3 linked regions of the Oreochromis niloticus genome follow. The protein of the gene in region 2 interacts with the protein of the main gene of each other region in a pairwise test. Links are inferred from orthologs where the notes say so. Each region holds a gene or a part of one and is shown on either strand. Other genes may lie near its edges.

The links.
Region 1: the proteins of cpne2 (region 2) and uba3 interact in binary tests that used the Homo sapiens proteins (3 or more experiments, as listed by UniProt). The two-hybrid records come from large-scale screens. The link is inferred for Oreochromis niloticus from reciprocal best matches to the Homo sapiens genes CPNE2 and UBA3.
Region 3: the proteins of cpne2 (region 2) and sorbs3 interact in binary tests that used the Homo sapiens proteins (3 or more experiments, as listed by UniProt). The two-hybrid records come from large-scale screens. The link is inferred for Oreochromis niloticus from reciprocal best matches to the Homo sapiens genes CPNE2 and SORBS3.

What each region holds. Positions count from the first base shown.
Region 1 is NC_031970.2:29,901,412-29,911,047, forward strand, and holds the start of uba3 (NEDD8-activating enzyme E1 catalytic subunit), read right to left. Parts: upstream 4,307-9,636; 5' UTR 4,275-4,306; coding exon 4,255-4,274; intron 4,146-4,254; coding exon 4,107-4,145; intron 4,095-4,106; exon of another isoform or gene 4,076-4,094; intron 3,055-4,075; coding exon 2,934-3,054; intron 2,836-2,933; coding exon 2,755-2,835; intron 2,629-2,754; coding exon 2,546-2,628; intron 2,456-2,545; coding exon 2,375-2,455; intron 2,158-2,374; coding exon 2,114-2,157; intron 1,243-2,113; coding exon 1,178-1,242; intron 1,032-1,177; coding exon 876-1,031; intron 766-875; coding exon 663-765; intron 526-662; coding exon 412-525; intron 121-411; coding exon 67-120; intron 1-66. UniProt on the Homo sapiens protein: Catalytic subunit of the dimeric UBA3-NAE1 E1 enzyme. E1 activates NEDD8 by first adenylating its C-terminal glycine residue with ATP, thereafter linking this residue to the side chain of the catalytic cysteine, yielding a NEDD8-UBA3 thioester and free AMP.
Region 2 is NC_031972.2:7,548,150-7,558,918, reverse strand, and holds the start of cpne2 (copine-2), read right to left. Parts: upstream 4,253-10,769; 5' UTR 3,995-4,252; intron 1-3,994. Other genes in the region: protein NLRC5, read right to left, coding at 7,143-7,224, 7,330-7,413, 7,565-7,648, 8,585-8,662, 8,757-8,840, 8,939-9,022, 9,258-9,341.
Region 3 is NC_031977.2:13,312,296-13,322,879, reverse strand, and holds the start of sorbs3 (vinexin), read right to left. Parts: upstream 4,523-10,584; 5' UTR 4,341-4,522; intron 4,309-4,340; exon of another isoform or gene 4,290-4,308; intron 1,968-4,289; exon of another isoform or gene 1,866-1,967; intron 1,064-1,865; exon of another isoform or gene 924-1,063; intron 1-923. Other genes in the region: E3 ubiquitin-protein ligase NEURL3-like, read right to left, coding at 8,197-8,765, 9,565-9,598. UniProt on the Homo sapiens protein: Vinexin alpha isoform promotes up-regulation of actin stress fiber formation. Vinexin beta isoform plays a role in cell spreading and enhances the activation of JNK/SAPK in response to EGF stimulation by using its third SH3 domain.

The sequences.
Region 1 (9,636 bases), on a different chromosome or scaffold from region 2:
TTTTATAATCGTTCATAGAGGAATCAAGTCCACAGGTCTTACATTTATACAGTCTTAGCTACTTACCAGCAATGGCAGCATTTGTGGATGCTACAGCAGGGATTATCCTCTTAACAACCCCTGAAACATTTAAAGCCAATTAGTTTTTTATATCTCTAATCATGAAAGAAAACAAAGAGGAAAATGCAGTTTGGTCAAAAGAAAGAAAAGCTGTACAAATCTTCTGATCTGAATGAACTTTAGGGAGTGTTGTAATGTTTTACTGACACAAACTAAGATAAGAGTTTCCACACAAAATGAAAGCACCATCAGCTTGCTGTATTTTATATTACTTGGCTCATCTTCCACAGGAGTAGCTAGAAAAATAACAGTCACCTCGTGGCCACAGAAATGCTATTTATACAAGCTCACCCTGTGTTAGTCTATATGTGACTCCTGTTATGCTGAACTCTGCTGCCCTCTCCAGAGATTTCTGGTACACCCACTGGATGTGTTCTGGGTCATCTCCATCCAGAGCCATGTCATCTAATCCACATTAAAACAAACAAAAAATAATAATAAAATAAACAAAAATTGAAACATACTTTCTGTTCACAGGTTTGACTACCTCATAATTGTAATTATTATTAAAAAAAAATATATAATATGGTGTGACTTCCTACCTCCAAAGGGCATCTCTTTCGGCCATTGCAATATTCGCACGTACTCAATGCAATGTTCTGGCAGACGAGGCATTGAGGCTATTGTACACATGGGGAAGTTGATCTAAAGACACAGTTTGGGTTTAGCACTGAAAAACTGACTGGGATCTGGTTCTGAAAGATAATTAACTCATGGCTATGATCATTATTTTACACAAACATCTGCTACCTTACCTGGGGAGGGTAAAGTTCAAGTGTGCAGTCAATGCAGGCTGTCATGCCAGGGAGAATGACTCTGGCATTGCCTTTAAAGCCTTCAGTCCCACCATCAATCAGAGGAATGATGGATGATGGATCTAAGACACCATCTTCATACACCAGCAAAGATAGCTACACAAAAACAGAAACACAGAGTTTACATTTAAAATTTGTTCCCTTTAGCTAGCATGGTCTTACAGATAGAAATCCAGTCATTTTTCAACTGTGAAGAGCTAAACAGATCATGTTAAAGATCACAATAAAGAGATTTAACTTACCAGCATACCATTCATCCACCTCCTCGCCACAATAGAGTCCAATCCACACACAATTATATGGAATTCTAGGTAAAGATAGAAAGAGGGACAAACTCAAATCCAATTTTCTACGTTTTCTAATTGTTTTTTTTATTCAAATTTTGTGAAGAAAATGTCAAAAAAAGTGGAGGTATCAAAAAGTGGAGTATAAAGTTTATGGATTCTATGCAGTTATGTGAAAAACTAACGACATCCCGTGATTCAGTAGCTTTCAGAACCACCGTTAGCAGCACTAAGATGCTCAGCTCTCTTGAAGTCTTGTCACAGCATTTCAACCTTTCTGTTATAGATTCGCTGCTGTGAACTTTAGCTATCAGACAGATGGCCTCACAGAATAGTTTGGTACACTGAGGAGTTCATGGTTGAATCAAAGACAGCAAAGTGCCCAGTGTCCTGTGGCTGCAAAAGATCCAAAATCATCACCCACTTTTTTAGAGCAAAAAGGTTTCCTCCTGGCAACCCTTCAAAACAAACTGTACTTCTTCAGTCTTTTTCTAACTGTGCTGTCATGAACTTTAGCATTTGACCTGTTAACTGAGACTTGTAGAGTCTGTAGCCCTTGGGGTTTTAAGAATATCATGGAGGATTTTCATAGGATTTCATGGGGTCCTGTGAAAACTTTCTTTTTCAAGTAACTATAGTTAACATGTAAATTGCTAATGGCAAGTGAGATCATTAAGGAGCAGGTTTACATCACAGGAAAGTGGACATGTGAAGTAAGTTTCTCTATTCTATTAAGTGGTGCAATGACTTTTCATTTAGAGTGGGTTACACACACTTAAAAAAAATAAATTAAACTGCAGTGAGATATTTAATGCGAAACAAAATTAATCTCAAGTGAGCAAATCCATTCAGACATTACAAAAGCCAGTAATGGATTGCCCTGTTGATACTTACGTCTGTAGAATGTTTCATCTAAGTCTTGAATCTTTTTAAAATAGCTGCACAAAACATTTAGGAAAGGTTTGGGTTTTAACACAACATTCACTTCATATTGTTCGCATCACAGAAAAGTAGTATGGTGTCTTTGCATTCTAAAACTGTAATATCTGAACATTTTTCACATTTTATCCACAAGGACTGTACGTTAAAATTTTAACCATGTGCACGTGATAAAGCATTTGAAGTCTCAGAATAGTTGCTCAATCAAAAGGATACGGGATTACACAGCATCCAGGCACACGGCTGTTTATAAAGTCAGCAGCAACATCCGCCTTGGGCCGACCTACATCTTTAGCTCTAGTGAAAATTACAGACACATGACAATCAAAGATAAAACATAACACAGTAAGGATCAGACTTTACACAGAACTGACTGATTCTACTCACCTGAAGAGGAACTGTCGATTTAGGTTGGAAACATCAATGTTGTCCATGTCAACAACATGAATGTTGCGAAAGCCTGATAAGGCCTGAGCCACAAGACGAACAAAAAGATGAAAATTAAATACGAACTATTCACTGCAATTATAATTATACCATTCAAATGATGATGATAATAATAATAATAATAATAATAATTATAATAATAATAATACCAGGTTTTTTAGCAGCTCACATCCCAAACCACCAGCACCAATGACCAAGATTTTGCAGGTTTCTAACATAAACTGCAAGGACTAAAATAGGAGAATACATTTCATATCAGAGATATCAAATATGGCACAGGACAGAAAAAATGAGATATCTGTATCAGATTCCTCACTGCAAATATTACCTCTGTGCTAGGTTCAAAGTCAGGATGCATGAATGGACCTGATCTTTCCAAAAACTTCTTGATATGGTTCCAACGGTCATCCCAATCAGAGGTGCTTCCAGCGTCTCCATCCACCAACATCCTAAGGATGACATTCGTGTTTAGGATGCATTATCAACAGTATCTCTGACAAAAATGTTAAATAGTGCATGCATGGCAACATATGGCCCCATAACATACAAAACGTTTATCGCTACTTAAATCGTACAGCATGGAAATGAACTAAATCCTATGCTCAATGTTGTGATTAATGTTAATAGAAAGAGTGCTATTTACAGCAGAAAATTAAACGACTTTTAGGAAACTAAGTAGGCATCATGTGTACACATTCACTTATGTTTTAATGTCTACTCTGCATCAACCTCTGTTCTCTCACATATATGGCTCTTTTAAAGGGGCTTTATTATGCAGTTTCATAGTTGTTGCAATGGTGGATGCTCACATTAAACATGGCCAAATCTTTGAGCCAAAAGCTTTCAGTTTCAAAAGCTTGTTTCTACTTATATGGTCATCTCAGGCACACAACTTTGGCCGTGACCACAAAAGCCCCACCGACCTCATATTAAAACTTTCTAGTTGTGAAGAGTAGCCAATCAGATGAAAGCTCCCTTAAAGGGCGGGAGCTGAAAGTGATTATTGCAGACAGAATGCCTGAAAGGCTACACCAAGGTCCAGTATAAGATGAAAAAAAAAGTGAACTTCTTGAGAAGAGTCCAAGATTAAAAATAGGCAGCAAAGAGTTGGAAGTGAGCATAATTCGTCCCCTTTAAACATCTTACTAAAACTGCCTGTCTCACGGGTGGGCGTTTCTGACCCTCTGAATTTTGGGTAATATCTCCTGCCTGAATAGCTCCCAGCCTACCGGCAGCTAAGCTAAGTGAATAGCTAACATGTCAACAGTGAGGAGGTACAACAGACCTCTGACTTCGCACAGAAATTAATAACACCACTGCTTATTCACTATACAGACGTGTTAGTTATTCACGGTCAACTAGGCAGGATATTTCTGTCAACTAGCTACTCACAAGTTTCATTTACAACCAGCATTAGCTTAGCTTTTCGTCTAGCTAATGTTAACCTTCCTCCTAATGTTAACCTCAAACCTTGCGCCAGTTCTACCAATTGATCACTAACTTCTCAGTCAGCTCCACTACTCTCCTTCTTTTCTTCTCCCTAAAAAGAGAGAATAAAAGAAGGTTGATTCATGCTGTGCTTTCGCAGATTAAGGTGACTTGAAAGCATCTTTCGGGGTTTCTTGCTTGTTTCTTCAGCAGCTACTTACGGCTCGTCCGTCTCCGCCATCTTTGAGTAACTTCAAATGTCCAATTTAGCAGTAGTAAACAAGAAATCTGTCAGCCAACAATAGCGTTACTGTCGGATAAAAGTCTCTGTTGACAATGTTCTGGTTTACAGTTTTAGAATTAATGTGTCCCGCAGCTAGAGGCTGTAGAGCATATAATCTATATATGCTAAATTAGTTTTAATTTTATTACTTAGGTGGAATTTCAATATTCCCATTATCATGAAGGTAGCACTGTCAACAGTCGGCCATAAAGGCGGAAATTACATCGAAGCTCCAACAGATGGTAGTATTTACCTGTTATGGCTTTACAACTCACCAGTTTTCAAGTGCAGACTTGTATTGCTGGGCAATACTGCACATTTTAGTATTGATCCAGTACGAAGTAAATCAAGGGCCAGTATTACCAATACCAATACCGATGCTTATGTGGGTGGGGCAGTGTGTCATGATTTATGAGATAATTTATTCATTTTCAAATTCTGAACACATTTTAATGACCATCAACCACTGTAATGTTTTTACTGTCCACAACAATTAGTAAATGTAAAAAAAAACACCTTTCAGCTTTTCAAGCTTTTCATCATCTGTTGTTTACATGTACAATAGGCTATAAATAAAATAGATGTGACAGTCAAAACAAAACGGTTCAGACATTTTTAATAGTACATGTTTATATTTTTTCACCCCCCTCCAAAAAAAGTTATTTGACACCATTCATTCACAATACATACTGATAAAAAAAAAAAGTATCGATCCTATCACCTAGCATTGATCCGATACCAATGCCAGTATTGGTATCAATACTGTCCATATTGGTTCAATACAGTACCCTTACACCGTACACCTTACTGTAGTGGTCCTCTGTTCATCCTGATAAGTGTTGAAATTAAAACATCTGTGCTAAACACTAGCATACTGTCAACTGGGCATGCCAGGAAACAAAAGAGCTGTGAAAAGAGATTAAATGCTTTAGGGTATTCCACAAATATGTTGTGAAATGTGACATTTCACGCAGATTATTGCCTTTGCTTTGTAATACAGGGATTCTCAATCTTGTGTTGTGTCATTCAGGCTATTTAAAATTAAAAAATTGTTTGTGCTCTTGTGTTCACCAGAGTGAACAGAGACAAGAAACAAAACAAGAGAAAAGGAAGAAAATAATTGCCATGTATGGTCTTGGTAAAGGCTGCAATTTCTTCTGCTAACATCTGATCTCTGTATGTTATTGAAGTTTATGGGACCATATTTAAACTCCTTAGATGTGGCTGTAGCCTATTTGACACAGGAAAAAAAATACAACAAAAACTTCAAAACATACACTACTTGACCTCCGAGATCAAAACACTCCGACTGTACTGTGCGCCCCTTTCTGAATACAACAGGAAAAGCCCACTTTTGAAAGGGAGACATTACAAAAGCTCTACTTTTCTAAAATCCTTGCTGAGCAGCTGCTTTTCGAACAGAAGAAACAAAAAGTAAGTGTCATCATGTTCACAGGAGAGAATTAAGCTTTTAAGGAGCATCACGCCCTGCCCTCTGTGATATATGAGGCGGCTCAGTTGCCTTATGGGGATGCTTTGCTGTGTGTGCCATAGGGCACCTTGCAGGATAAAATCAGGAGATTATTGAGACACATATGGGGAGAAACATACAGCTAGAGGGCTCTATTGCTTAACAGGATAACGATTTAAAGCTTTTAAAACACTAGACCACAGTGAAGTATCCAGTATTAATCTTTTTTTCATTCATTCATAAAACATGTTATTTTTGTTAGTGCCAAATGATTTCAGAGGATTGATTTATTTTTAATAATTATTCCCACGTATATTTGTGCACACTTACTTTAGACTCTTGTCGCTGTATATCACTGAAATCAATTTTTAGCGATCGTATTTAGCACAGTTGTTCGAATGCTGATACTTTTCATGCAATCTTAGTGTAACTTTTCTAAATCACCGTGGGGCACTGGAGTTTAACAATGGCACTGAGAGTTAAATAAAGTCTATACTAGTAATTACCTGATAATTGCTCTGGTTTATGTGCTTTAGCCCCGCAACTAGCAATCATCTATAAAACCAGTTAATGAGCATTAAAGAGCGAAATGGCCTGCTTGAGTGGAATAAAACTATCTGATGAATTAATATTATCGTCCGCAGTGGATGCAAAGTAACTGAATGAAAAATGAAGTCCTAAAATATACAGCACCCTTTCTTCTGCATTTCTACTACACTACATAAAAAGTAATGAATTTGTTGCTTTGAGTTGTTTTCCACTCTGCAGTGATGAGACAGGAAATTTAAATCTTGGTATTATGTTACTTAAGGGCATCTACCTAAAGCATCTGATTTAATGTGTCCAAATCGTGTTAATGAATCTCTTATTATAGAATCATTAATAAACCTTGGATTGGCCTCTTTGCATTTTAAGAGTGGTGCCTGTGGGTTTGTGGACATAATTAATCCACCTGTCTACATCGCCTCTAAAATTAAAGCAAATGTGGAAAAGTTGTCTTCTACAGAGGTCACCAGAAGTCTGCTAATGTATGCACTGATAGCTGATAACCTTATGAGCTCATAATATTTGATGCTGGGGTGTGTGCTCATATGTGCGCAGGACACAAGCCTCAGAGTTTCTTTGATTTGAATGTGGTGGTGTTTTTTGGAGGGGTTTTTTTTTTAAACTGATTTTTAATGAGATGTTCCGAATGACAGCCTCTGAAAACTGATAACTAAAAATAACTGCTGTGGCCATGTCCTTCATAGCTGACTGCCCGCTATCTCAGCCCTTCTCTCTCTCGATTTGTGCTATCCGCCTTGTCCTCTTTCATTTAACCTCGGACATGCTCTCATGTTAAACAGCAGAATGATGTGATAACATTTCATCAAAAAAAAGGAAATGGATTCCCAGAAGACACTTGAAAACCAGTTTGGTTATGACTGAAACCCATTGCCGTGGGTCTCAATCACACTCTTGCTCCTGGGCACTTTATTAAGGTGTTAGGTATGCTCCAGACGGCAGCAGTGTCAGCTCTGTTGGCTTTCCCTGTATTGTTATTTTAGATGTACACTAGTTGAAAAGTAGGGCAAAGTCAAAATCTTCTGGTGCTGACACATTTTTATAGATTCCATTGAAATGCCATCTGTCACTCCCCCACCTTAAGCTGGGACATTTTGAATGTCACTACTGTGCTTTTGAGGTGACCCCACTCTTGGCGATCCATCACAGCCAACTGCAGTTAAGGTTCATGCAAAGACCGAAGAGATCAGAATTAAGCAGGCCTTCACTAGATCGTGGCAGGCTATCAAAACAATGACACCTTGCTCGGAAGAAGAACCTCAAAGGAGCTGCGTGCACTCCCCGGAAAACCGGAAAAGAGATCTTTTGCTTTCTCCTCTGCATGCAGTGACATGGGAATCAGAGTTTGTCAGCTTTATAGCTCCATATATCTCATATCCATTTGCCATCTGATTGCTTTCTGTCAGGACATCCAAAGTAGAGCTGATTGTGCTAATGATAATGTGTCACAGCGATATGGCCCTAGTTAGGCGCAAAGCAGGGCTGCCAGCCAAGAAGACAAGGAGAGGCTTCAGGCTGATGTTGTGTTGTGCTGTTGTAGGTGATTGATGACTCTCTCTGTTCTAGTGCTTTGATTAAGACTCCAGTGATTTATCGCCACTGCTCACGATGTAATTAGACTCTATATACACTCAACAAAACAGTGTTGTCCTGCTATACTGTAGGATGCCAGCAAGTGTGGGTGTGTTTTTGTGCCTGTGGGTGCTATGAGTTATCTTCACAGCCATATATCTAGTACAGTATATTTTGCTGATGTGCATCTAAATGGTTGCCAAGTGTGAATACATTCACATTAAAGCAAATTCACCCTGCACACTTTTCTGTTTTAAAGTAGGAAATGTAGCCAGGAAATGTGCTGCACGTGATACAAGATTTATTCAGTGTATGATGGATTACCTTTGACTGAAGCTGTCTGGAGTGTTTTCACTTGGCTATTACCAGGATGCTCTGCGAGTAGATATTTGCTGTGAAAATGAACCCTTGCTGTTTTTATGGTTGGGTCAATGGATTTTTGGTCTGTTGAGATGTCCTTAGTGTGGCAGGAGAAGTGGAAAGATACAGAGCTCATCCAAAATTCCCCTTATAATGACAATTTAGAAGATTAAAAGCCCACTAAATGTATACTTTAAAAGTAATTACACGATCCTACTCCTTTTTTGAAATGTATGGAAACAGCTCTAAACTTCAGGCTAGCATTGTTGCCACCATTCTGAAGTGAAATAGAAAGTTCAGGCTGGCTGTACCGTCTCCAAGGTGTTCAAATAAAATAATCCATCATCCTATGATGTGAGGAGTGTGGCGTCATTGCTGGTTTGCACTTTGTTCTTCCTGTTGCTGATGGGCAGCGCCCACAGACAATTTGTGCTTGACACTTCCTGCCTACGTGGGAGGGGGACTCGCTCTGACCTTGCAGCACATGGTGTTTTGTTGTTGTTGTGATTTTGCTTTTTTTTTTCTTCTTTCTTTTCATTTAACCTCCCAGTTTTGTCCAATAGAGTTATTTCTGCTCTGAAGGGAGAGCTAAACATTGAAAGCAACAACTATAAGGTGCTTTTAAAGCAAAAGGTATACAGCTGTGCTCAGTGAAATGTAACTCAACTCATTAAACACAGCCACTCCACTGGTTTGGGTGTATTTAGCACTATGTTATTATTTATTTACTGTTGTTTTGTTAGATTTTAAAGGGACTGTTACTGTTCATTATATATAGTATACCACACTCATCCTTACACTAAATTTAAAGCTTCAGTCAGTAGATGATAAGTTTCATTATCTAGCTTTTACAGCAAACTGGAATTACACAGGAAATGAATCACATGAAATATATTATTGTAGTGAGTTTTTAATGACAGCGCTTCTCCGGTTTATCTTAAGCTAAGAGACTAACAATGTACAAACATGGGAGAGGTGTCTCTCTTTCCCTGTAATTCTTTTACTTTCATTTCGACTCTTGGTTGCTTGAGTTGAGACATCTATTCCTTAGTAGTAGACTTTACCTTGGGGATAGGTTTGGAACAAGTAGCTTATTGCTATTTTTCTAGCATCAGGAAAATCTGTCATCTTTCTTGGTGTGCATCTGTGTAGTGTTGATAGCAACGCTGATATATTCCTTTTAACGGATATTTGGGAGAGGCTAATTCTAGGTTTCTTTCAAGGACTCCAGAGGAATTACGGGAATCCTTAAGACCATGAGACGGAATTTTCCTCTGACTACTTCAACTGCTTTTATTCCTGCTTGTACTTCCTATTTCCTGGCCTCCTCGGTATGCTTCCTGCTCTGCCATT
Region 2 (10,769 bases):
TAACCAAATATGTCATCCTTACAATGAATTTTTCCACTGTCGATTGAAAAAAAAAGATTAAACAGAGCTGCTGTGATTATTAATAACAAATCTCAGCACATTCTCAGCTTGTGCAATGAGAATATGTGCAGTGATATGACAGTGAACTAAAACTCTCTGCATTATGTGCAGTTAGCTGTTGGAAACATAACACCTGAAGATGCTACTTTTGGCTCTGTAAAGTGGTGAGGGTTATTTTTTCACAGACTAAATGAATTTATCCTCTTCAGAGTACCATCATAGCAGAGCTGTTACAGCCTGCATCACAGCATAGGAGCACATTCACTCCCATTCCTATAAACACCTTTTTCTGTACTTTTTCTGCATAAGTGTTTTCTTTCTAACATTCACTGTCTGATGGGAGCATCAGAGAGCAACCAAAGGATATCTGGCATATCAACCACCAACCTTCTGGTTTGTAGATGACCTGCTCTACCTCCTGAGCTGCAGCCACCCAGAATAGAACATAGAAAATATATCATATGTTCAAAATGAGAAAATGTACTATTTTAAGACAGTATTAAGGTCTTGATCTCTGGATCTCTGTTGTATGTTTTCTTTGCACTAAATTTTTCCAACAGCTAAATGGTCTGGACCGTAAGCAGGTCAGTACAACACCCAGACTCTTATACTGTGCTGTTGGAGTAGCTGTGGTTGAGCTTTATCTTGCTGAAATATGCAAGGCCTTCCCTGAAAAAGGGGTCGACTGGATGCGGGCATATGTTGATCTAAAACCTGTATACATCTTTCAGCATGTGCAAATTGCTAATTCCATAGGCACTAATGCACCATCCTAACATACAGGACACAGGCTTTTGACTCGAGTTGGTCCAAGGTGCAAGCTTGATGATCTCTCTCCTCTTTAGTCCATGTTTCCAAACAGAATTTCTGTGTTCACAGGCAGCTATTTCTGGAAGTGTTCCTGAGCCCTTACGTTGATTTCCATGACAGAATCGTGTCCATTTTAAATGCAGTACCAGAGGATTACAGGCATTAAACACTCTTTTTGAGACTTGTCCCTTGTGCACAGAGATTTCTCCAGATTCTCTTTTGATGATATTATGTACTATAGGTGAGGAGATATTTATATTGTAGTTTTATATTGATTCTGAATTATGCTGAAAATTGTTCCACAATTTGTAAACACAGTTTTTTGCAGATTGTTTGACCTTGTCCCATCGTTACTTGTTCTTTTTATAACCCGTCATCTTACTGACCTGTTGCCACTTAACCCAATTAGTCACAAAATGTTCCTCCAGCTGTTTCTTTTTAGTACCACTTACTTTAACAGCCTTTTGTTTTTTTTAAATGTGTTGCTGCCATCAAATTCAAAGTGACCTTATACATCTTAAAATGACACATTTTCTCAGTTTAAACATTTGATGTTTTCTACATTCAACTGAGAATAAAACATGTGTTTATGAGCTTTGTAAATTACTGCGTTAACACCGGTGAACACAGGTATAACTGATAAAACGAAGTTATGGTCCTGTTCTATTTAGCATACTGATGCCATTCTTGTCAGTGAGCATACACAATGCCAGCACCCCATCCAAATGGAACAGAGCCATAATTAGAGTTATTAATTACACCTGTGTTTACCCTGAGCCAAAATGGCTGCTCAGTAAATGGACGATTAATTAGACCAAACTAAAACAGAGTGCAGGTACAGAAACTGGCTGAAACATTACTGAGGCTTAAAATGACAGAAACAGATGTGCAGAGATTTTCCTGTTAGGCTGTCATGAAAAAAAGATAAACAGCCAATATCAATAACCTACGGTCACCATCAGCTCAAAGTATCTGCCAGTGCCACGAAGAGTGAGTAAATAAATGTGCTACTCTCATGTAATGTAAATGTAAACAACTGTAGGTTGCTATTACATACACACAGATGGCTGGTGTCCAGGATGAACCGCAGTTTCCCTGACGTAACTCTAACAGACAAGCATGTGCATGTGCTCATCTTACGCTGGTATCCAACCAAATCCTAAATTACTGGAGACACCGCTGAGGAGAGAACACGAGACGCTCCCAACACCCTGGGTGTCTGTATCTGTTGCCACGCAGAGAGCACAATTACAGAAATCAGTGTTTGATATTTGTCGAATGGAAGTAACATTTTAATGTCACCGTTTGTTTTTTTTTAAAAGTTGTTTGACATATTTGTGACCTAATCAAACGAGGGGAAGTTTACCCAGATAACAGAATTAGTAAATCCCAATTACATCAGATCACCTTGAGAATTCGGCTTAATCATACAAATGGTTCTGTTCGGCTAAAAATACCCAATGAGTACAAATAAAACACCACTGGTGTAAAAAAAATCCATTGGGGGCATTATGAGAGTCATAGTTACCCTCTGATAAGCCAAATGATACCCAGGATTAAGCACTGCAAAGACACCCACACACACACACACACACACACACACACACACACACACACACACACAGTGCCCTGAGCCCAGATCAAAGCCATTACCTCTAAACTAAAGAAGCCTCAGGCTAGGAATGGAAAAAACAGAAAGAGGGAATACACACACACACACACACACACACACACACACACAAATCTTGAAACAATTGCTGAGTTTAGTAAAAAATGTTGTGAACACATTCTCAGTGGTATTGCATTTGAAATAATTCCCAGGTGGCTTTTAGGACAAATAAACAGCACAGCGCCCCGTGTCCAGATCAGTGGTTTTGTTCTCACAGCGGCATGCTAAAAGGATGCTGTCTGTTGCTAAGATACTAATGTGTCATAAGCAGCGTGCTCCTCCCGCTCAGCTCCACTGTGATGTCACACTGGTAGTGGTGATGCACTGAAAATACCAGTGCAACATTTTCATTCACTCACTTCATCATTCATAGGTGGAGAAAAGCGTGTTTTGACTGGCTCAACTACTTTTACTCACTCGCTCATTGTTCGTGGTCTCAGTGGCATCTCCTGTATTTATAGATGCTATTAACAACTCCAGTGAGAGAAGGAGCAGAGAGTGGGATAAATCCAGCTTTAAGCAGACACCTGCTCTATCCCTTATATAGAAGTGTGAATGATTAAGATTAAAAAGGCATCACAGATTGCCAAATAGCATTATCAAAGAAAACATGGCTTCATGAAGCATGCTACAATGCACCAGAGCAGCTTTAAAAGGTGTCCAGTGTATTGCTCAAGTGAACTGTGCTGCACTTTAACTGGATTCAGGATAGGTCCACAATATTTGAGACATCAGAGGGGAAAAACAGGATGAATGTTTTCTAAAAGCAACTGAACCTCACAAAACTGCATTTTTCTTGTACTGTGGCTCTAAAAAAAACTAGAGCTGCTATTGCATCATTTTTGGCTACATGATGCACTTTGTGTATGAGTGCACTGTAGAAAGAAAACACAAACATAAGCCAGGGTCAGGTGCAGGCCTCTGACTGTACTGACCGTGCCAAAAAGCTTCACACCTGCTCACACCTGCATTTTGGGCAGGCAGCTTAAAGTGAGTGACTGAGGCGGAAAATGACCTGGAAGCAGATGGCAACTTGTTAATACTAGCGGAAGGATCAGCACGCTTTAAGTTTAATTACAAGACCGGTGAGCCATATTGGTGGCAAAGTAGCCAACATCACTGAAGAGTAGACTCTAAATCTGAATCAAGGAGAGAGATATGCCAACTTAACCATTAAAACTCTCTTTCACACACACAAACACAACACCTGTCTATTCTGTACCATATTTCCTGTGATATTTTTTTGGTCCTACATGAAAGGTGCTCGTCAAAACATGACATCTTCCCCACATCCTTCCGTAATTAACCTCCAAGAGAAGCACACCGACTGTACATTTTGGCTGCAAGGGTTATTTTTGCGTCTTAGTAGCTTCCCGGTTCCCCTTTGACTCGGGATCTGCTGTCAGATCTCTTCTTCTAATGTAAACCCAACAGGAAAATCTGAAACCGACTCACCTCGGTAAATGACGAACAACTTCTCCGCCGCTTTTCACTTAAAAAAAAAAATCTTTAAGTGCTGCGTACAGTGAAGAGAGAGGAAAAGCAGAGGCAATTTTCCTATAAAGGAGTGAAAGCTGAGGTTAACATTTTTTTTATTATTAATTTTTTTTTTTAACCCGAGTATCCTGGAAGGCGCAACAGTGTGTGAACACAAACCATCCTCGCAGCCTGGACTGTGCTCTCTGCGCCCAGCGCCACTGAAGGACAGAGTTTAATAAAGCCAACAGTGGTGGCTTCACAGCGGAAGTACGACAAACTCACTCCCAAATCAAAAGCGGAAGAGTCAAGCAGAAAAACTACTTCCGGTTAGTCTTTCATGCGCGATCAGTGCCTATATTTTCCATAAAATTACAGAACAGGAAAAAGATGCATATATTTTTTTTACCCTACTTAATACGGTGAATGCATTTATTCCACATCTAAGACATAATTTTTTTAAAATTATTTTGATTTTTTTTTACTTACTAAGTACTTATAAAGTTTATCTTTAAAACATGAATTTAATCTTCTCCCTTGTGTACAGACATCAGGCCCCAAGTTTGTTCACTTTCTTTTAACACTACAGCCACGTTAGATGTAAAATAAGGCTATTTACAGTAGCCAACAGGACGTTCATTTTAAAGCATTATTTTAAAAGTATTTCCCAATGTTTTATGCTTCTGCTAACCGCAGCGAAGTCTAAGCATGTACATCTGCATGCGCAGTATTTTATGGTGTTATGTATTCAGTCTTATTTTACTTTCCATTGTTATTTAGTTGAATCTCAATAAAATGTAATTCAGCCTTGGAAAAGTTTACATCTTTAGTCACATTTGCATGTTTTTTATGTGCTGCGTATAAGCACGCCCACAGTTTCAGAGTCTCGTTAATCCTGGGGTATACGCAACATTTTTCTGATAATTTCAGATGAACATTGTGCAAGAATAGCAAGCAAAGCAAATCCTTCTTCCATGGAGAGAAATTTGCCTCCAAAGGGTTGCAAATGCGTACGATATGATCCACAAGCGTAAACTAACCTTTAAAAATGTGTACAATGATTTGTGTCTAACTTTTTAAGGACTCACGACGAGTGCTTCAATCCACACACAAACACCTGAAGTGAAAGGACCCAAGTTTTGGTAATCCTCCTGCAGCCCATTCAGCAGTACCACTGTTAACCACAAGAGGGCGGAAAGTGAACATAATTTACAACCTTTCGACCGAACGCAGCTGCTGGTGCCGCTGACAAGGAAACAGGAGAGGTATGAATTGTGCTTTGCATAATGAGCAGGACATAAGATGACCTAATCTACACCAAAAAGATGTAAAGTAAAAGCATAAAGCAATCAGGTATCAACTTTTAATTGCTGACATTGAGAACAAACCAGAATTGCCATTTTTTTTAAGTTGTATATTATAGTTGAGGTGCATATTTTTTGTATTAGACTTTATTTAACTGGCATGTATTGCTAGAGCAGATTTTGTTGAGTTTGTGCTTTATTGATGTGTTTAAATTTAACATCATACTTTGTAAAACCGCTGACATAACAAAAAAATAGAAACTCAACTTAATGTTTTCTAATTAGCAGGTGACATCTTAATGCAACTCATAGTCAGGAAATATCAAAAGTATCTGCAATTTTTCTGTCAAGCTCAAATCACAACCTGCACACAAACCTTTCAAAAACTATATTTAACAGATAAGCAATTTTAAATCCTTTCAGTATGATCCAGTGTTGCTCCAAAAATCAAAGGAAAAATGAAAAAAACGGACAATTACACACGGGAAAAGAGAAAGGAATAAGGTGCATTACATTCAGAAATCAGAGCATCAGCATGACGTTAGAAAGTCATGGTGCGACCTGCAAAAGTTACAGGATCTTCTTTTGGTCACAAAGCAAATACATTCCTATAAAAATATTTCTTTTTTTTTTTAAAATTTTAACCCTGATTTAATCACAGCTCAATAAATAAATACAATTTCTTGTGTCCTACTATGATAAACAGCAGAAATAAATACGCACATTGGATAGAGACCACGACCTAGAATGACGATAGGAGCAGATAACTCTTCTTTTACTGTGACTTTGTGATTTCTTGTGTTTTCAGTAATGTGGCCTCTAATTATTGTAAACATTCCACAATGCAAATTGACTCCTTGTATCAGAGTCTGCAAAGATACAGTCATCATTTCCTCACAGGAAAATAACACAGCGTGGCCTTTATTTTCACAGCAGTTTGAGTCGGTGTGAAGCTCAGTGGTGTGCTACTGAAAGGTGGAGCTCAACAAAGGTTTAGTGATTTCACACTTTTTTAAGTGCATACATAAGTTAGTGTAATATTTTTTAAAAGCCATCTATAATGTACTTTGTGACTTTTTCTAACTTTATTGTAACAAGTTTGAAATGATCCTGTCATATGGGAAATACTGTAGTCCCGTTATAACAGTAAAACATTATCTGTCCAATTCAGTAGGGAAGAATTTAGTAATGAGTGTGATACATTAGTTAAAACTGAACACTCAACCTTTGGCAGGGCCTGCTTTGTGTATGTGTGTGTTTTTCCTTTCTCCCAGGAATTCACTGATAAAACAGGAAGCAGCTGGCCAGTCTCTCAGCATCACTCACTTGGGTGTCCTCGCCCACCTACTCGCCCGCCTGGCAAGGTGATGACAGTACACCCTCAGCCGTAAAAAAACTCATTCTACTGCTGATTAATACGACTCATTATGACAGTAAGTGTGTTATTTCAATGGCTTTGAGGGAACTTTTTGTTAAAAACTGCATCTCTAGTTAGGCGGACAGTGACAACAGCTTTTGAAAAAAAGGTTTCAGTGACTTCCACCGGTTTCCTGCTTTGTGAAACCAAAGGCCAATCAGTGCAAAGTCAGAGATTTAAATAGTTTCAAAAATACATTATTTCTTCTTGTCTTATTTAAACTGTACAGCCGTGTTTTAATGGAGCAGCACTTAGAAAAAAAACCCCAAAACACTTCAAGCAAAAAAACCAAATTTCTCACAGATTTTTAAGTCAATGTTGGCAGAAGAAGTACTGGAGTGTTCATCTGCACCGGTGCTGGTGAACTGGAATTGTACTTCTCAACTGTCCAGCAGTGCAGATCATATCAGGTGGAAGAGAAATTCATCCTCCTGTCCCTCAGAGCGAGCCTATGGACATCACCCTCAAAGATTTTGTTCTTCCAGAGTCTGAAACCAAGTTCAAGAATTTATAAAGACCAGAACATTATCACAACATTAAAAATTAATAAGGTTTCAGTGGATAATGCAGGCATAAAAGTTCAGGAAGTTTACCTGATGAGTTGCAGAGCAGGGCAGAACCTTAAGGCTTTAAGCAGGGCCTCCGCTCCAGAAACACTCAAGCTGTTGCACTCGAGACTGTGAGAAATAAACACTTAATCTCTCATGTACTGAGACTAGAGTTGTTTTCCTTATTGTTTTAATAAATATAAGAAATCCTAAATGAAAAGTGGAAGGAAAAAAGTAAAACTCTTGCAGTTGCGGGTCTTTATGTGTGTGTTTTACTCACTCTATCTGAGTCAGCGTATGACAGAAAGGCAAAACCCTGGCCACTTCTAATGCCACTTCATCACGACAGTTATTCCAACCCAGACTAGACAGACACCAAGACACAGAGAGAGAGGTTTAAAGAACAGAAGCTGAAGCACCACGCAAAAAATTACTTTTAATTAAAAACCATAGTGTCATGTACAATAATACCTTAAATAATTAAATCATCAGTTCCTTAAACTGTGTGGTGCTGTGTAAAGTGTAGGTAAAAACAGAATGAAATGATCTGCAGAGTTCATAAATCCATATTCTGTTCACAAGTGGCAATAGAAAACATAATATTTACACATTTTGTATTTGATGTGGTCATAGTGTCTCAGAAAAGCTGGGACAAGGGCAACAAAAGGGTGGGAAAAAAGGGGCATTATAAAGAAACATCTGGAGGAACATTTAGCAAATTATTAGGTTAATTTGCAACAGGTTGGTCACATAATGGGGTATAAAAAGAAGTAATGATGGACAGAGGCTGAACAATCTGCAATAAAAAAACTGAATATCTTCTCATACAGTGCATGACATCATCAGAAAGATTGAGTGGATCTGGAGAAATGCCTGTGTGCAAGGGACAAGGTCAAAAATCAGTATTGGATGCCTGTGATCTTAGTTCCCTCAGGCAAGAATGCATTAAAAACAGGCACGATTCTCTCATGGAAATCCCTCAGGAATACTTCCAGAAATCACTGTTTGTGAACACAGTTCATCCACAAGTGCATGTTAAAGCTCTACCATGTAAAGAAGAAGCCAGATGTGATCACAGTAACTTTAAAAGGAGCTACTATTTTTCTTAAATGCTACATTTCAGTTTAAACCTTTGATGCGTTTTCTATGTTCTATTGTGAATAAAACGTGAGTTTACAAGATTTACAAATCATTGCATATAGTGTGTGCCAACTCTTACAGAACTGGGGATGTCCATGTACCAAAGAACACAGAACACCACCAGATTATTAAATGTTTGATCATTTTTGCTTGATCTTACCCAACTTCCTGTATGAGGGGACAGTGAGCCAGACTGGCTACAACAGCACACAGCTCTGAAGTCCCAACAGAGGTCAGGCTGAATTATTGTGCAAAAGACAAAAAACAATCAGTAAGTGTAGTCACCTGTGTGAGCTGTGATTCTGAAAATAATCAAAGCAAGTGAGTCTTACTTAATCTTTTTGAGGTTCTTCATGCACATTATGGCTTTGGAAAGGCTATCGGAGCCTTCATGGTCAATACGGTTGAGAGAAATGCTACAAATGACACAGAATTAAAGAAAGAACAAAAAGGCTGAATAAGTGAGGGGAGAAACACATATCAATGAGAACATATACGCCTGGGTGAGACTTACTCTAACACACTGAGGTGTGTCAGTGATGGGAAAATGAGGGCCATCCTGGCAGCAGTGAGGTTTCCCAGTGTGTTATCGGACAGACTGGAAGAGTGCACAAAAAGACATATAAATATGTACATTTTAAAACAATCTTTGAGTTGCATGAGTTAAATGCCAATTAATTATATAGCCAAATATATAAAACTCAGCTTTTCCAAAGGAAAATAAACAAGTTTGAAGATTAAACTGTTCACTCAAAAGTTTTGAGGGCTTATTTTGTACACTTCTTGCAATCAAGTGCCAAAAGCACATTTACAGGAATGAAACACATTCTCACCAGAGCTCCTCCAGGTGGCTGCAGTCTTTCAAAGCCTCGAGCAGCTTCTCTCCTGATTGGTCACTGATAAGGTTCTTTGACAGCCTGGAGGATAAACACACACAGCAAGAAAAGCAAAATTACTCGTTTTTAATAACTGTTAATGGACCATGTAAAGTGTTCTGACGACAGTGTGTTTTTTTGATTCTTCCACTGGATGGCGCCAAACTTAACTCAAACTTTACTTTTAAATTATATGGATAATAGACACCATACACATTACAGTGGATTGATATAGCTCAGTTAAATCTGTGCTATAGGTAACTGGAAACTACCTAAATGCTTCAACTTTGCAATAATATCATTTACAGCTGATCATGGAATATCTAGGACCAAATAAATTTCACAAGCTGACTTGACTTATTCTTTCACAACTGTTTGCAAAGACAGACTGCATTACTGGGTGCTTGACTTGATACATCTGTGGCAAACAGTATGAAAACACCTGGATTCAAAGATTACGAGATTTGGCCCAGTATTTTTGTCCTTATGGCATAGATTGCATTATTACTGGGAGAACTTTGGATTTAATTTAATCTGGGCTATTATTTCTGGCTATGTGTCAATGGAAAATTGTACTTAGTAGTCAGTATAATCTTTTAATGATATAAGTTTCCATATATGCTTAGAGGTGTATAATCGATTGTGTAGTGATAGGATGTGTGATCTTTAGTAGACTGCAAAAGGCTTTGGGTGCATTCCAGGGTGTTCTGGCATTCAAACCCACATCCTGGGAGCATGGGAAAAGGGCATACCTTCTCTTATTGTTTTATGATAGGATAAACGTATCTATGTCTGTTTTAGGCTAAGTGCCTTTTGTTTAGATGAACTGCTGGACTTCCAGGCCAGCAGGTTTAGGGAAGTCATTTATGGGGTCACACTCTGACCCCACACACACACACAGCAAAGAAGGACTCATCCAGGCTGGAGAAACTGATCAGGAAGGCTAGCTCTGTGGTCGGCATGAAGCTGGACACTCTGGTGTCAGTGGCAGAGAAAAGGACACTAAAAAACTGCTGGACATTATGGACAATGCTGGGCATCCTCTGCACACGGCCATAAACAACCAGAGGAGTCTGTTCAGTGACAGGTTGCTTCTCCCAACGACAAGAACCAACAGACTTAAAAACTCCTTTGACCCACACGCCATCAGACTGTTCAACTCCTCTCTGGAGGGGAGAGGGAGGGGAAACAGGAGGACAAAGGAGGGGGGAACAACTAAGCTGTAGTGCCTCTTCACTTCACTGTGCAATACTTTTGTTAATAGTCAACGGTGCAATAGACTTCAATACTTGAAATGTGCAATTCACTTGTATTTTTATTTTTTATTCCTATTTATTCTATTTATCCCCTTCGTATATTTTATCTATATATGTCTCTGTATTTATATGTGTATATATATATGATATTCTCCTCACGCTCTGTAACTTCTGTCGGTGCTGTGCTTTTGGAAACCGAATTTCCCAGAGGAAC
Region 3 (10,584 bases), on a different chromosome or scaffold from region 2:
CCAGCTGATGGCAAGAAGCCACCGTTTCCTAAAGTTCTCTATCTTCCATAGAAAGCTGCAGCCAGGTCTTTTTGCGAACACCCTGACCTATGATGACCTCCATCTCCACTGCACAAAGAGAGAGCACGTCCTATATTGTTCTCAGTGGGAGCAAGGCTGTCAAGGTGGCCGCACATACTCTGATGAAAAACTGCGGCAGTGCTGACCCATGAACTTGTGCGATTGCTACTGGGAACGTCGTGATTTGACGGTTGTTTTGTTTTTTTGCAAATTAGGAAAGATGGTCTTAAAAAAAAAACAACAGTCCCTTGTGAATTGATCACCATTTATGAGCCCCCAAGTCTTTTGTGCAGCACGGTAAGCAGAAGCAAAAGAGTTAATCATTTACTCCTTAAGAGTGCACTGCTGCAAAGAGTCCGATTAAAAGTTCTTAAAGCTGTGTAAAAGCTCATGAAGAAAGCCGGCTACAACATGTCGACCTAAACACTCTCAGAGTGCCATAAAATCCTTAAAATGTGCAAAAAGATTCTAATCATGTATAGGAGTGTGGATATTGTTTTAACCTGCTCTGAAGGGTAAAGTCTTATCACCTCATCTGCACGTACACAGTGTTACTGCTGCCCAGTAAGTTACATAAGAGCGCTGTAAAAACCAACAAAATCCTGCCTTAAAAAGTGGTGAGATGGTAATTACAAGCACATTTGTCGAGTAAATAAAACAGGCTTTTATTTCCAAACACATAAAGTGAGTCACTCTGCAGCTATGTGAGAGGTCAGTTCTGCGAGGTCGATGGTACAACATTGCTTCCCGTGTGCAGCATCGCAGATGTGCCGACGCAGCCCATACAAGGTCCTGCAGCCGCAAGTTTATGATATGCAGTTATTGAGGGGATACACACATTTATCAGGAGGGAAGTATTTCACCTCCTTGTATGGTGCTCCTCCAGTCTGAGCAGCAGGAGGAGTCTGTACTTCTTGTCAATGGAGAGGCGCTGAGTTCCCAGGAGAAGCCCAAAGGCAGTAAATCACAGCCTCCCTCTCCGGGTAGAGCCAGAGTAGGTTCCGTTTTATCAGATTTGCTCTTACAAAAACAACAAAAAAAGCATGCTTCACATCATTTAAAGTGATTCCTTATTTGAGCTTGTGTTCGATACGCCAGACAAAGCATGAGAAAATACAAAGCTCAGAGCAGAGTAACTGCAGAAAAATGTCACAAATCCTCATGCTTGTCATCTTGCATCTTCAAAGCTGAGTGCAGCCAGTGGTTATGAGTGCTGGCAGCTAGACCCTCAGTAATATCACAAAGGGAGTCAAAGCCAACTGTGGAAATTACCCCGACAGTGAGGAGGGCCTCCGGTGATGCCTGGACGGTCCTGGGGCCATTAGGCCTGATATCTGCTGCAAGATGGGAAAGTAATCCTGACAGAACTAATTATTTCCTCTCAGCTCACCTGACAGTTGCCAGTGTACACTTACCCACTGGGCAAAGCAACAAGGGATGACATGTTGGGAAACACTATCCCCAATGCCAGGTCTCTCTCTCTCTCTTTCTTACTCTCACTCTCTCCCTCAGTGCTCCAGCTGTGACTCCAGCTGCTCTCATCTCCACTTGCTCAGACGCAAGTGGAGCACACTCCTGTTGTCCGTTTCAACACTAACTACATGAGTTAACTTGCTTTAAGACACTGTAAACCGCAGCATTAATCCTGTAGAGCAGCATGTAATCCCTGAGCAGTCAGACAGGTTACTCAACCTTAAACAAAACACAGTTTTAAAACTTACACATGTTTCCAGACAGCCACAATGCTTAAGGTCAATCCCTGCTATTGGTTTTTATATATTTGTGCTCCCATTTGGTGTACTTACCCACTCACACCTCTTTCTGTCTGCATGAGCTGTGCATGAAAACCACACTTGCAGACCTTCCCTCCACTTTCTCTGACTCATGAAACTAGCCAGGACACACAATCTCTCTCTCTCTCTCTCTCTCTCTCTCTCTTCTTCTCTTTTCCAGTCCTCTCTCTCCCTGCTTCCGCGGAAGACTTCTCCGGTTGACAGGCATTGCCATAGCAACCCATTTTAACCCCCCCATATTCAAGAAGTGCCCCCCTCGTACTTGACTTGTCAGTTTGGGGCACCTCCTTCAGTGAAGCAGCTCTATTGTTGTCATAAGGTGATATTTCACTGCACAGGGTTAACCAAAGGAGAACCAAAATAGTTCATCACCTCCACCTCCCAGACACTACCCAGTGACTCCATCATGTCCCCTCCTAACTTTATCTATCCCATGCCTTCCTCTCCTTTTGTGTGTCTGTGTGTGTGTCTTACATGAATGTGTGTGTGTACACAGTCCAGGTCTTTGGCTAGCCAAAGGCATGAAGGGAGAATAAGAGCTCTTTCTGTTCCTGTAGCTCTGGAAGTGTTTCAGAGTCATTACTCTACGCCACATAGGCAACCACTGACAGCACAAGTCCTGCTGACTTTTCTCCCATGATCGCACACAATAGCAATACTTTTTTGGATGTGAAGATAAAAATGAAACAACAAGAGACTGAAATATGTTTTGCCCTTTTAAAGGCAAATTAGAAGGAGATCAGTCAAACAGGAACAAACACATTCTTAAATCCTGCTGTCTTACACACACACACACACACACACACACACAGTTCTTGCCCAAATGAAACCAGGATTTCCAGTTTGCCCACAGTTCTTGCCAAAAAAGACAAACGGTGTAAAACCTGAAATCCAGTGTGCTGACAGGCTTGCTTTGGCACATATTATGCAGCAGGAAGACTGATTTACAATGTCTGTGTTGCAGGTGAGTGATCCGATCACCTGCTGACAGATGCAATCCCTCCTTTTACATCCATGTTTTATTCCAGCAATAAACTGAAAGCCAGCAGGACAAAGAAGGAAATTTATCAGGGCCTACTCAACGGTCTGCCCATTTGTTTAAAAGTGTATGTTTTTGTGCATGTGCTCGCCAGTTTCAACTTGAAATCGAAGCACTCAGCTCTTTCAATAATTCAGCGGTCTGGCTTGGTACACCAAAGCTCAGCGCAGATATCCACTTACTGAGCTTGTACGCTTCACAGGATTGTTTTCGCCAACCAGTTGAGCTGCTGAACCTAAACGGACAGTGCAGGGCGATCTAGAGGAGCCTTCCTTCATAATCTGTGTCCTGCTGGCACAGACTTTAACCCTGCTGTGACCAAATCTGGTACTTTGTCACTCTGCGCCTAAATGAGGTAATCACGTAAGAGGCAATAGCAGGTTTGGCGCGGTGGTGCTCAGCACGTCTCTGTATTAAAAACCTTGCTCAATTTGTCTTACTCTCTTATTGCCACGCAAACATGAAGGTTTACTCATTGTCAGCTCCAGTTTTTGTTTTTGTCTTTTGTTTTATTTTGGGGTTTTTAACCAGATAATCACGATAGGAAGGAACACAGATGATCTTGTACTTCAGCCCTTCATTGTTACTGATAGATTCAAGCAGACCTTTACCACACAAGCTAATTAAAACAATGACAGCTAAAGATCTCAGGAGGTCAATCATCTAAAAACCTTAAAATACTTGGTGGCTATGGCCCAAGCCTTTTTTTAAAGCATCAGCTTCTCCGTCTTCTGAGGAGACAGGAGACAGCAGATACTGTTGTAATCAAATGAAAGATGTAAAGATAGATAAGTCAAAAGCGTAGAAAAACATTGCCATCATGATAGACGACTGATAAGGAACGACGGCCATACAACAGGTTATGCGCTGAGGTAGCCCATGTGGAATGTCACTGAGAACAAACAAAAATGCATCAGAGTTTATTTTAGCAGTAAACAACATTTTTTTCTGAGCTGTACATGTCCCAGGACTCTGGTTCACACTCTAAACATGTCTTGTATAGAAATAAATCCTTGCAGGTTTTAATGCCTGTTTCCAAAAGAGCGATAGAGTGCACTTCTAGGATGAAAACACTGAAATATCCCCACATGTAAAGCCACCATGGGAGTCGGTGTGTGGATAAAGGTCAGATGATAACCATCTTTTGAACCACAGACAGCTGCTTAAGGTCACTTAAACAAATTCTGAAAATAAACCCACAGCAGTAACAGACCAGTGACTTAAAAAAAATAATGCCTTATGTTGTTTGTCAATGCCAGTGATGAACTGAGTAGTGACGAGAAGAAGCAAATATCACATCTGTGCTACAGTCTCACACGAAAATTGAAGTCAAAACTGAAAGAGGCTAGAAAAACATAAGTCTTCTTTCTGAGCGTTTAAATCCCAGTAGCTCTAACCTTTGCGTTAGTCACTGTGAGAAGCCGAGGCACAAGTTGTACAGTACTTACAGGCTGTAGAGTGCAGGCTGAGCGGTGAAGTCTCTGCAGCACACAAGGAGAGAGAGGAAGTGAATGAAAAAAAAGGAGGGCACTACTGCTGCTGCTTTTTCTCTCGAACTCTCCCTCCCTCTTTCTCTTTGTAAAGCCAACAGGGTGTCTTTTATCTTCTGTGAATGATTCAGCCTGAGTCTGAATGTTTGACTGGGTGTCCATAGGCGTGCGCATGTAATATGTGTGTGTGTGTGTGTTTCTTGTGTTTGTGTGAGCATGCTCTTTAAAGCTCATCAGGGAAAAAGGGGCTTGGTAATAGTTTCCATCCACAGCTGGAAATAATAGAAATTCCCATAGAGGCGCAGCAGAACCACCTTCCGGTGTTTGACAGCACATGCCAAAAAAGATGATTTCTATAGCAATCTCAATAAATAGGCCTTAGTGTTATAATCCTGTTGGTCTATTCACACTCTTAAGCCTTTAGTGTGTGTCACATTCATATCAATCAAAAAAAAAGGAAAAAGGAGAGTCTTTAGCACTTTCTATGACATCCAGATAGCAGACAGGATCCAGGAAAGTATATTTCTTTTTTTCTTTTACATGAACTCATATCCGCTAACAACCCCAAATATGCAAACACTTGCCCCAGACTAGGACACAAAGGCTAATCCCAAAATAAGTGTCACTTTTTCCATCCTCTGTATCAGGCCCTATGCAGCCACCCAGTATGAGAAAACCTTTGTATTCAAGCTGTAGTCTTGTAAAATCCACAGTGTAATCATGAAGATCGGCTGCATTTCTGGACAAATGTTAAGCTTCTGTTAAGTTCTTGAGGGTTTTATCTGTTAGATTCTTTCACCCTGAGTCCAGAAGCAGCGCAGCCCTGCCATCCAAGATAAATATTTAACAGTCTGGCTGTGAGACCAGGAATCAAAGGTCGCACCTCTGTGAGTCTGCCGCTGTGTTAGAGACAAAAGACAACCATGTTACCAAACAGCTCAACAGGGACCGTTATTTATTCTTCTTGAACCAAGTTTCCAGATGAGCAATCCATTATTCACAGAGGAAAAACTCATTTTTGATTAATAAAGGTCATCTCTGGAACACCAGACACACAAGTACAAGTTTGCAAGCTATTTTTTCCATCAGTGGTCAAATGATGTATGCCCTCTTCTCTGTTGGATCCTCTTTGCAGTCCAAAAAGCAACACCCCAACATATCCTCCAATTTCACTCTGACAGACTTTGCATTGGAAAGCACCTTAACATGAAAGATAGTACCACACCGTCCCTCTGTGGCTCTGAGGGGAACTGTTGGGTCTATTACAGGATTTGTCATATGATATCAGGTTGCACAGACAGATGTCGCCAGAGACAAGGAGCTGTAGTAATTTAGGCAGTCCTATGTATTCCCTCCAATTTAAACACCTGCAAACCTCCACTTCAAACAGTAGGCAGGTTAAATATTTAATAATAAAAATGTTGTTTCATCATAACATGTATTTTCCTCCAGTTATAAAATATGCTGAGACATATAAATTAACTTGCAAATCTTATATATTGATATGTATTCGTTTCAATGACTAATTAGACACCTTTAGTATGTCTAATAATGTGATCAATGATGCATTGTTATTTCCCAGCTAGCGTTTGTTTGATGTTTTTTACTTACTCAGTTTTTAGCATTTACACAGATGAAGTGTATAATATTTAAGTCTTTTCACAGTGCATTAGTATTTTTTACTTAAGCTTAATATTCAAATTAATGCTTTGATCTCTTAAAATAAATGAAATCATACCTTATTACTAAAACTATTTATGTTGTTCTCCACCTTTTGCTTAACCAGACCAGAGTCTGGTACTGCAGGATTAACCTGAGTGTCCCAATCCTGGACCGTTTTTTTAACCATGAGGATCGCAGGCTTGATTTTCGGCTAAGCAGGGAGTCTATGGCAGTGTTGCTAAATCTCATGAACCCGGATCGGCAGCATGGTTGGGGTGCAACAACTGAGACCCTGGTGTTTCTTTTCTGGTTGGCAAGAGGAGCATCCTACAGGTGGTCTCAAGAGTGTTTGGGATGCCTCATTCTACAGTCCACTACATTGTTCATAGACTCACAGAGGGGGTGGTGGCCATTAGCCACTAGATCATGCTGCTCCCAAAGACCCTCAAGGACCTGGAGGTATTGTCCTGTGGGTTTGCAGGGCTGGCACGCCATAGAGCCTTTCTGAGAGCGGTGGGGGCAATCGACGGCTGCCACATCCGCTTCAAGTCTCCAAGCGGCCCTGATGGTCAATGCTACAGAAACAGGAAACTATTCCCATCATTCATCTTGCAGGCAGTTTGTGACCATCAGGGCCGCTTCAATGACACGTACGTGGGCTGGCCTGGGTCGGCAACACAGTGTGTTCTTACCTGAACTCCTGCTTTGATTTTTCTCTTAATGTCCCTATAATCAGTAAATACCTGATTGTAGAGACATTTTTAATCAAACATGGTCTCGACAGGTTTCCTTTTATCACAGTCCATTTAATTTCACTGTAATTTACAGTAAGTTTCATAAAAACACATACAGCTAAATAACAGAAAAGAGCTTATTATGACATATTACACATTAATTATACTGGCATAGTTGAATTTTTTATTTTAAAAAATCCAACATTGCTTTACAATTTACAATAACAATGAAAAATGAACCATACAGCACATTTTGCATTAAGTGTTTAAGTCATACAATGACTTAAAAATTACAAAAATACATTTTGTTTATAAAACAAAAAGAGATGTACTATTTCAATCATTTCAATTTAGAAATATTTCAGTTCAGTGTCTGTACATCAACCTTTTTGTAAAGTTTCTTTCTTCCTCTTCTGCTTCTTCTGGTTGTTCCCTTTCAGGGTCGGCACAGTGGATCATCCTATCATCCTTTTCTGTCTTGCTTTCTTCCTCCTGTCTAACAGCTCCATCTTCAACATCCTTTGTCCAGTTTATTCACTATCACTCTTCTGCATACGTGCAAACCATCTTAGCCTTGCTTTTTTAACTTTGTCTCCAAACCGCTCAATCTGAGCTGTCCTCTAAATGTACTCATTTCTAGTCCTGTCCCGTATGGTCACTAACAGAGACATTCTTAGCATCTTCAAAACTGCCAACACTTGGCCTCCTGTCTGTTTGTCAGTGCCACCATCTCCACACCATACATCCCAGCAGAACATCACTACCATCTTGTAAACGTTCCCTTTCACTCTTGCTGCTATTCTTCTGTCACAATTCCGGGCTGTTGTCTCAGAGATCAGCTGACCTCTATAAACCACCTCTCCACCACTGATGAAGCTCTGATCGTGTGTCGACACAGCGGACAGGTACCAAACTGCTCACAGACTCTGAAGTTGCAGTCTTTACATAAACATCGGTGACCACAAGGCAGTGTGATTCTGGCCTCTTTCACCATGCACACCACACAGATTTTATCTGTGGTAAAAAGAGAGAGATCCCAATTACAAATGTGACATCAGGAAATGAGACCACACTATTACAGCTGATTTCACTTTTATCCTCTCTGGTCAGAAATGTGCAACTGAAATTAGCCAATAATGTTTGAAATGACTCTTTACCTTCTGGCATTTTTGTGTCAAGACAGGAGATGCAGTCATCACGTCTGAAGTTTGAAACATCAGGAACTGAACGAAAGTGACTGTAAGCATCAGGTGAGGTGAGCGGTTCAGGTGCAGGACAGGATCTTCTATGGTAAAGCAGCTTTTTGTTTTTCTTGGAGTCTTCAGCAAAGAGAAAGGAGTATTTGAATAGTCATTCAGTCTATGAATGGTCATTCAGACAACATTTATAACTGTCAGAGCATGTGAATTGCTCTGCATTCACAGAACAGGAAAAACATTCTGCAGGTCAAATATAACTGTGGTTCTAGTGAACTTACCCAGGAATAAAATGGAGCGCGTCTGTCCGTAGATGTCTATCATGGCCCACAGTGGCTGTTTCATGTCCACTCCTGTTAGTCGCTCGTACTCCTCGTTGTTGACACCTACGTATATGCTGCCATGAGAAGAAACCCAAAACTCCAGCTCTGAACCTGCTTGACAAACAGATTCATCCAGTGGAACAGCCCAGTGTCCCGGCTTGTCAGTGAGATTGGGGATGGACATGCAGGGCAGAGGTAGAGATCTGGCTGAGGGTGGCACAGTGGTAAAGCCCACACGCAGAGCCCCGTCCCAGATGGTCGAATCCCTCTCTACTCTCAGACGAATCTTCTCCTGGACCTTCACTGGACGGCTGCTGAACACCAGCCCATTCTTGAAGGTGTTCTCAGTCTTCTCTGCGAGTCGACCTCCATGACTCAGGCGGATCTTTTCTCCCACAGCTTGACTGTCGAAGGTCAGAGGACCGACACAGCGTGAGCTGCATCTGTGTGACACCTCTGACTTGCCAACTACACAGAATTAAATAAAAGTTATTAGTGCTGATATAAAAATATTTCTTTGCATGTGATCAGATGCTTAAATATAATGCATACATTTAATGGTTTTAATGAAAATTAGTAGTCTGACTCACTATTAATAAAAGATAACAGAAAATAATGTGACAAGGTTTTCTATCATGAGCTTATTTTACACCGTTAAGTTGTTTCTGAAAAAGATTTTAGTGCAACTATAAAAGCTAATAAACTTGTAAAGAAGTCATAATAAAATTTGCAAACTCCTGTGCTTTCACTTTTGAGAATCATGTGGCGCTTTGGACTTCATCCTGAACTAAGTTGCATTCAATGTCCACTAGGTGGCCGGTGATTATTCATTGTTTATGTGTGACTCTCACACAGTTATTGTGTGTGCACTTTATCTTTGGCAATAAGCATTTCCTCTAAAACATAAACTTTATATTTAAAGATTTTTACAATTAATTCACAACTTATCATTAAGACATTTTTTTGCAGTTGTTTGCTAATCCTTACAGTACTTTTTTCATATATTCTTTTTTGTTTTCACTCAGTTTTCAGGGATTTATTTCAATAGATAACAGCAGATCTTACATTCTTCAAAGTTACAAGTGAAAAACATCTGTTTCTCATATTTATGCACTATAATTTCCAGAGTCAATTATGTTGTTTGTTTTCATAAAACATAAATAACTGTTTAGTCTCGTAACAATATAGAAACAGCTGATATTTGTTGATTTTGGAATAATAATTATTGATTTACCAAACTGATATATAAAACAGCTCTGTAACTTACATTTAAAAATCCTCATAGAGTATGGCCATGGCATTTTGAAGATGTAAATAATACTTGTCAGCTGAGTCCTGATGGGTGAAGGTGTTCTTCTGCTTTGTGTTTTATAGTGGTTGAAAACACAAACACTCCCAGCATAACCAGGAAAGGAAAAGAGGAGGGCGTGGGGAAGTGACTGTACTTTCTGATGATGTCAGTGACCTCCATTCCCAGTTCAATGTCTGAGAGCTGGGTGAAGACATCAGGACACTCACAGTATAAGTCTTAGTGAGCTTTAATCTTCTGTGCACAGATTCTTGTACTATTGTTAGGCTTTGTTCATACATGTGAAATATCAGCCCAAAACATTTTTTTTGCATTTCTTTCTTTTTTCACTTGTCAGGAATTAAATCCAAACCAACCTGCATGCTTCAAAAAAGCCAAACAGTCTTCCAGGGACATACTAAACACTTTATGTTTGAATAAAAAACAAATAAGAAACAAAATAACTGGATGATGATGGTGCTAATTAAAAATATTTGCTGTTTTTTGGTTTGTTTTTGAGCAGCTTTGTCAGTCCTCTACTTTAGTTTTTATTTTGATGGATATTTTACGGCTATAAAACCGAAACACATTGAACTGTAGAAGAGTGATGCACTTTTCATGCACAATCTAAAATATATATTAGAACATTAACAGTGGTGTAATAGCTAATGATGTTGAAGGTTTAGGAGACGGCTTCTTTGTTGTTTTGCTGTCAGTTTAATCTTTGTTAACAACGCCTGACCTTTTCTGGGAGTGACTTTTATCTGTTGTAAACCTGAAGTTCTCTGCATCTCTCTGCATTTCCGAGAACTTTGTTTACACTCGTTCATACATTATGAAATCCTTTACCTTTACACATTAACAAAGGAGAAACAGCGTAGCTTTTTTATACTCCAAAGTGACTCAGATAAAGCTTTTAAGATAACCTGTGCACAAGTCATAATAAAAGTACCAAACTCTTTTGCTTTTATTTTTGAAAACCAGTTGAAAGTTTGGCCT